Linked DNA regions of Drosophila melanogaster. The protein of the gene in region 2 interacts with the protein of the main gene of each other region in a pairwise test. Each region holds a gene or a part of one and is shown on either strand. Other genes may lie near its edges.

Region 1 (4,695 bases), on a different chromosome or scaffold from region 2:
CCTTTAATTTCCTTTAGCTACATAATTTCATATCATTTTATTGTATGAAATGAACTTCTAGAGCTAGCTGGAAAATAGCCAGTTTCACAGCTCTGATCCTAGGACTCCAAATTCGAGACTGAGAAATGGAGTTTGGAATGATTGTGGCAGTTCCGGTTTTGGGTCGCCATCGCCCCCATGGGACTTGACACAGGCCATCTCAAGGGGTTAGAGTCTAGGGGTTAGGGGTTAGAACCAGATGTTAGCCGCCCGCTTATTGATGCGATCGCATTCATTATCCCAGAATGAACTGGCTCAAACACGTGCCCCCTAACGATTAGAAACTCATTAAATATATGGTAATGAGCTGAGTTTGCTTCCAAGAACATGAACTACACTTGTCAGATGTCAGAGGTTGTGGATCCATGGGGAGATGTCCACGCCCAAAGGGAGCAAATGTCAACTGATCTACAGTGAGAAACCTAGCATATTACAACAAAAAGTAGAACATACTATTCAAAGGATAAAATGCAAAGGGTTTTGGAGGTTTTAATTATACTCAAAGCCTATTTAGTGCAACTTTTTTAAGCTCGCCGAGCAATGCCCAAAATGACTGCAAATGCGCTTAATGAATGTTCCGCATCAGCGGTCGGGGATGTGATTTAATTAAAGAACTCAGGGGAAACGACGCCACACAATCAAGCCGAGGCAGTGAAGCGTTTTCCCAAACCCGAACCGCAATCATCGGTATCCACGGGAGGAAGCTACTGGTCGGGCTTTCAGATCAGTCCCCGCCGCATCCTCCCGCAGTCGCTGCTCCTGGGCACCTACTCCCATACCATATAGACTCTTCCATTAAGGCATGTACACATTGACGCGACGTTTTCCTCCTCGGATCTCAAGTGTTTGCCTGCCTTTCGTGGCCATCGTCTGCGCCTTTTGTTTTACTGCCCCTTCTGTGATTTTAACATCTTGCACTTGCGGCCCGCGTCTGGTGGGCTTTTCATGTTTAGCTACCGAAGTAGATGGCTACCGGTGGCCGTTAGTCACGCATTTCTGCACCTCTGGTCCAGAGTCTGGGTTTTGGTTTGGGTTCGGGCATGAGCATGGGTCTGCATCGGCGTCTATATCTTTTTCGACGTCTCCTAGTGAGCAAACAATGCTGGCGTACAAACAGAATGTCAAAACATCGAAAGCATGTCATTAATGGACCAAAAGTGCGGGACCTCCTAGCCGACTTATAACTTCTTTTCAGCTCGGACAAGTGGAAAAATATATATTCGTGTATGTCCTTTTGATACTTTGCCATAAAGAGGCTCAAGCAAACAAATAAATACTTGAAACTAAGTGGGGAATACCATTATAAAAGATTACCCATAGTCAGTCACACTTGTATGTCACTCATAGAAATTGAAAACTATTGGCAAATTATTTCAAAAGATGATCTAAGCAATTCGAAATTTGTAAAAGTAAATCGACGCATGCCAAATTATTCGATTGCGCACATGTTTGTCAACAACTGAGAGAACTGATCAAATCTTTACACACTTGTGTAGCGTAGTTTTCGGCCATAAGGCCATGTCTTGCACTCGCATTTTGCTTTTGGCCCAAAGCACATGGACAAACAGAGACACGGACACTTGGAGCCAAAAGTGAAGACCGCACGACAAAGGCAGAAACATTACAACGATCATTAGTTAAATTAGGAGCCTTGGCTCCGGAGTTTGGGATTGGGATTGGGGTTATGGGTTTTGGATTTTCGGTTTAGGGTTTTGGGTTTTGGAATCGGGTACGTGTGCGGACGTCGGCGACATCATCGAAAGTCAAACAAGTGCCGCGGCTACCGCGAGGCTGTCGATCATGCGCCAAGCGACGGCAGCCTTTTGAAACGAAAATCAAAAGCAAACATCTGCCTCTTGATGTTGCCCAAAAAAAAAAAAAAAAAAAAAAAGAAGTTGGTCCAGCGAGCGATTGTGTTTATCCCAAGCAGTTAGGGGATCCGGATAAGGACTTGGCTGGAGGATCGGACAAGAGGGCTTTATTGGCAAAACACTCGAGTGGCGGGCTTAAGTTAAGAGATTTAAGTGAAAATATAGTGCTACTTTTGAATTTGTCTTTTCGTTACCTTATATTTTAAGATAGAGAGGGAAATGTGATTTCAAAAGTCTTATCAATATTTCCTGCAATATACATATTCTTGTTTTTCTGATTATATTAACCCAAATCTATCAATAAAATAGCTACTACGCTTTTTAAAGAAACCCAATGCCGTCGGCACCTCAAAAATGCCGATAGATCTAAAAATTTTAATTTGGAAATGAATTCTGAGGCCTATATCTTTGTGAGTCATGGATTGAGACATACCTGGGTCCATTTCGGCCGATGGCAATTGATTGAAGAACTCCAGAATTGCAATTGTGGGCACCCAAATCTGCCTTTCGCCAACTCCGCCGTGGAACTTTCTCCGATTGGATTCGCCGGAATAGTTGGACTCTGCTTTGCTGGGGATTGTCGGTGGTTACCTAGTCGTTAACTTTTCGCACTTGGCTATAATGTGAGTTTCAATTAAGGCATGAAATTTGTATACAAATTGGCGCCAGTTGTGCGGGACAGCATCGGGCTGCGATGCCTACTATGCCGTGAACCAAGACTGAGATCTGATTAGCACATTTTCGGGCCAAAACGATCGCTCTCGAGTAGGTTGGCTCGAAAATTATCACGCACTTATCACACCTTATTGGGGAAGCGGGAACTACACACACTTAATGACACTACAATGGGTTTGTTATGCTTTGATTTTGGGAATTATGTCGGTTTACTTTGGACTTGACTGGCGGACCTCCCGTGCGATTGATGGTTTGCAAATGAACCGATTTAAACAGCATTCACTGATCCGTGCGCGCGCCTTTAAATCTTTCGATGGCCTTTTTGCTCTAGCGTATCGGGTCGTAGCGTATCGGTTGGGAACGGTTTGGATCGGGAAAACCTGGCGCGCTCTCCAAAAACGATCGTTGCTGCTCGTCACCCGTGTCTGCTGCGACTAACGCTGCCCGCGGCGCTGCCGATCAAGATCGCCCACAATCCACGTCCACGCACACATTGAATATCACCACCACAGCCACAGTCACATCCACATCTACAGGCTCAAGTGGAAGTGGAAGCCACCGCGTCGACGCAGCATCCCAAGATCTCGCTCTCTCTTTTTCTCACTCTCCGCATTCTCCTCCGCAAGCACACACACACTCATCCGTGAGAGGAAGGGGCGGTCGGTCGAGCGTATATGTGGGTTTTAATGGCGATGATCGCGCACTGGTGTGCGTTTGTTGGTGGACCGCGGGCAAATAATAAAAATGAAGAATGTCTTTCAGCGATCAGGAGCGCAGGCAGCGAATTGAGGGTAAGCCCAGAAGAGTTAAGGCGCCAGTAACTTTGGTATCGAAATATCTTGTAAGTGTTTAAAGTAAAGGGTTCATATAAATTAAATATTTTAATAAAGAGATCGAATTCAGAAGTTTAGAAGAAGGTTTTTAAGACTTTATTACATCAAGTTATACACAATAATCTATACAATTTTTTTATTATTTATCATAACATATTTCCGTTTTCTTGCTGATGGATAATAAACTAAGCTAACAACCCATCTCTCCTTTTTTCCCCAGTTACCGCTCCTGTAGTCGCTCAACTTTGTGTTTGTGTGCCAACGGATGTGTGGGTGTATCCATGGATCGGAATTCGTACTCTCGCTCTCTCTCCGCTGCAATACCTACACAGACGAACCGAACCGAGTGAGTGAGCATACGCAACCGGGCGGAGTTAATTTCTGAATGCTTGAATGGCCAATCTGAAGCAAGTAAGCGTATCCGTAGCGTTACGCAGGGTGGGCGAGCGATGTCATGACTTCTTAGTGTCACACAGATGAGGAGCAGACGAAAAAGGAGCCGAGGGAGAAGGATAGAAGGAGAGAAACGGAAGGAAAAGGAAAGGGGCGGGGCTGTGGGAATTCTCGGAGCGCGTGCATCTATTTTTGGTTCATTAAGAAAGCCATATCGCTAATAAAGCGGCACAGACAGCTAACCCCGTAGATCCCCAGGGATCCACCTCCCGGCCAATGCGGCGTATGCGTGATGCCAACTCTCGCTGAGGCGTTGCGTCTTGCTTGGTTAGAGTTAATTATAAGAAATGCCGTCTTCATCTGATTGTCACTAATTCTGAATACCGCCATTTAATGATAGATGCCAATTGTCGTTGTCATTCCCTCATTAAAATGGTCAAATCGCCGCTCTTGCTATTCTTAATGTTGTGCTCGCTCTCTTCGCTGGCTGTTTAGCATGGCTGTGTGTGCACTTAGTGCGCGTGTGTGTGTGTTTTGGCCCACACACACTGTTGCGCGTTGGACACACCTCCTTGAGTTGGCTTACGCTTACCTGCTCATACCTTTTGTTGCGAATCCAATTGGCCCTCTCCCTGTCACTTTCTGATTTCTGCTCATTGCCGACTGCATTTCCCTGCATTTTGTGGTTTGACGAACGCCATTTCCGACATTGCCTTTGTTTTAAAACAAATAATTCTTATAGTTACAATGTACTTTAAAAAATTTAAACTAAACTCTCCTAATACAATTCATTATTGTTAAATTACTTGTCTTTTTAATTTTTTATAATTTTTATATAAATTTTAAAAACATTTAAAATGTATCTATTACATTGGCATTTTGAT
Region 2 (3,175 bases):
AGGATGTATATAAATATCACTTCCCAGTTAGGCAACATAATGTTGCTAACGGAAATACTTTTGGAAGTGTAGTGTCCCGCTTCGCGCCCTAAACTTCTGACCGCACAACACTTTCGCAGCCCAAACAGTGCGCATTAACTTTTTGTCTCTCTGTGAAATCGGAATTCTACTTTATTTATTTTGACAACGTACCCACCCATACAGATTGTAAGTATGACGGGAGAGATATATTATGCAAGCCTAGGATTGGGTCAAACATGAGCAACGGACTATTATAGTCAGGTCTAATTGGGTAATATCTGGTTGTTTAGATGTTTACCGCTGCTTTGCCGCTCCCCAAAAAATTTACTTTTGCTTGGGGGAGAACTCAGCAAAGACATACAGGACGACAGTAGGATTTCGGGGGGAATGTTAATCACTGGCGACGGACACACCCGCTGTTAAATAAGGATACTGTGCTGGGTGGTTTGCGCTAGTGAGAACATACATAAATAGATTGTGTTGATTTTGGATAGGACCAGACCGAGCAAGCAAGTTGCACCAAACGACGAGCAAAGATGATGGATGGAATCGGGGTTGAGCGGGGCTCAGACACACGCGGTTGTGCGATGACGGCGTCGGCACGAAGCTTGCCACATGGCACAAGAGATTCCGTGGCCCACGAGGATGACCTCACGGCGGCAGGAGGGATTGCGCAGCACCGTGGTGCCATCGACGGGAGATAAGGCGGATTACAGCTTGTTTTGCATGGCGGGTGTGCAATTAAAATCCCCATTAACCAGCCAATTTAATGCTCATGCACCAGCGGCACGCGACGTATTCAAGTTTTCAAGGTCTGCGCTGCAATCAATATGAGAGTTATTAGAGTTTCCTGTGCTTTCTTTCTGCAGCTCCGCCATCGAAATGTCCACTTCCGTTGGCCCGGAACCGTGCATCGTGGTCTGCCCCAGTTGCCGTCAACAGGTTACCACTCGTGTGGAGCCGAAAGCCACCACCAAGACTCACCTGATAGCATTGATTATGTGCCTTACCTTGTAAGCCATGTTCGATATTGATTTCTTAACATTCTGGGTGCATTCTCATTGAGTGATCTCTTTCGTGCAGCCTTTGGCCCTGCTTGCTGCCTGTACTGCACTCAATGCGCCCGGAACTCCGACCACCACTGTCCATCTTGCAACGCCTACATTGGCACCTACGAGCGCTGAGCAACTTCCGCCGGAAGTTGTTTTTTTTTTTTTGTCGTGGACTGCAGCCAGCAGCCGTGCCGAAATGCAGCCCCCATTACTTATCCCCACTTGATCTATTTTTAACTCTCTCACATTTATTACTACGCACTATTTTGATAACAAAACAAATCATTGTAGTGCCGGCATATGTATTCTTCAGCACACCAATAAAAGGGTTCAAGGAAGAAACGAGTGGATTTTACCTGGGGGTTGATTTGTTTTAGAGACAACGCAATTCTTGAGCAGAGTTGAGTATTTCTTATGTTTTCAATAAATATGCAAATTGTTGTTATATACGTGCTAATAGCATAGCTGGAAGGACCATTTCGGAAGGGTAAAAGCTACTGGTTTGTTTACCTGACAATGGAATACCCTACTAAGTGCTAACATTTCTGTTTTATTGGTAAGTTTTGATATTAATTAATTCATCATGGCTGAGCAATTTCTTACTAAAGCTTTTCATCCTGCAAAAAAAAAAGAACACTTACTCATGTAAAAGCCCTTATTCTGATAGCCACATAATATTTAACGGAAATCGCTTAGCAAGCCATCCGACATAGTAGGGCTATATAGAATTCGCATCGCGCCGCAACTCGAAAGTTCGCCGAGCAATGTTGGAGGAGCTCTCTGCGGTTTCAGTCGCTGTCGGCAATTCAAACGCGTAGCACACATCGGTCGGAATAATTAGAATGGAGAAGAACTTTCAATACGAGAATATGCAGCCTCAGGCTCCGGGTTTCCAGGCACCGCCCAGTTATGATAGCGCACCGCAGCAGGTCTATCCTCAGCTCCATCAGGGACAGGGAGTGATATTGCAGGGTGAGAATACAGAGAACTATGAATCAATCGGAAATAATGGTCAATTCTTCTGTGCAATTCAAACATAAAATATAATATCGCATATTATACGAAATCCAATCGTGCCTCTTTCAGCTCCACCCAATGTCCTGGGCCAATGTCCATCCGTTGCCACTTGTCCGAGCTGCGGCGTCCGCAGGGAGACGAAGGTGGAGTTCGAGCCCAGCACCAAGACCCACCTGTTGGCCCTACTCATCTGCATGCTGGGGTAAGTGCAGCCCGTTTGCTCCACCTGCCCGCAGGACTAATGGCCATTTTCAGGGGCATTTGCTGCTGCTGCATTCCGTACTGCACCGACTCCTGCCAGTCGGCCAAACACACCTGCACCAGCTGTGGAGCCTACGTGGGCACCTACAAGAACTAGAAGTGCTATCTCAACACCAAATATTACAGGGATAGATCCCACTTTGTATCTCCACACCTATTGATGGGATCAGATTTGGCACGAATATTCACGAAATACAACTCTGGTTCAAATCAATTGAATATATGTATGTAATTTTCGCATTGGTTTACTTTTCAAAATAAATTTCTAATCACACAAATTGTTGGCGATATATGAATGTTAACACTTTCGTATATAATATTAATAAATCCCGGAAATTTCTGAGGCGGGAATATATTATAGATATTTTTATCTGAGGTTCTGCATCCTACGCCCTTTATATAACTTCATTCACATTGTTGATCTAACAATCGCTGCCTCTTCTTGAAACTGGATATATATATATATATATATGTATATTGAACAACTTATGTCAATGAACAGTGGAAAAAGGTTTGTAATTTAATACCTAGATTTTATATTTCCCCTCTTCGAATTAAACACTAAACAAAGGAATAGGGAAGAAACAAGGTAATTTGATCGCTTATCCGTTTATTTGATTACAACTTTTTCTGCAATAATACCAATAAAAAAGATGGGCAACAATATTTAGTTAATTTCATATAATTTAAAAAATGTTGGCAACTAGTATCCAGATTAATACCTGAAATGATGCAAATTCGATGTCCAATTTTATTAACATGTTTATATAAGTAAGTTATTATTCAAGCAAGCGGATTTCATATTTGCCGAGATTCATCAGCTT

What was found. The genes of interacting proteins can lie anywhere in the genome.
Region 1: the proteins of CG4250 (region 2) and Poxm interact in a two-hybrid assay, tested with the Drosophila melanogaster proteins (one large-scale study listed by BioGRID).

Annotation. Positions count from the first base shown.
Region 1 is NT_033777.3:8,330,772-8,335,466, forward strand, and holds the start of Poxm (Pox meso), read right to left. Parts: upstream 3,022-4,695; 5' UTR 2,354-3,021; coding exon 2,344-2,353; intron 1-2,343.
Region 2 is NT_033778.4:22,661,830-22,665,004, forward strand, and holds CG4250 (uncharacterized protein), read left to right. Parts: upstream 1-1,862; 5' UTR 1,863-1,915; coding exon 1,916-2,084; intron 2,085-2,159; coding exon 2,160-2,292; intron 2,293-2,345; coding exon 2,346-2,448; 3' UTR 2,449-2,645; downstream 2,646-3,175.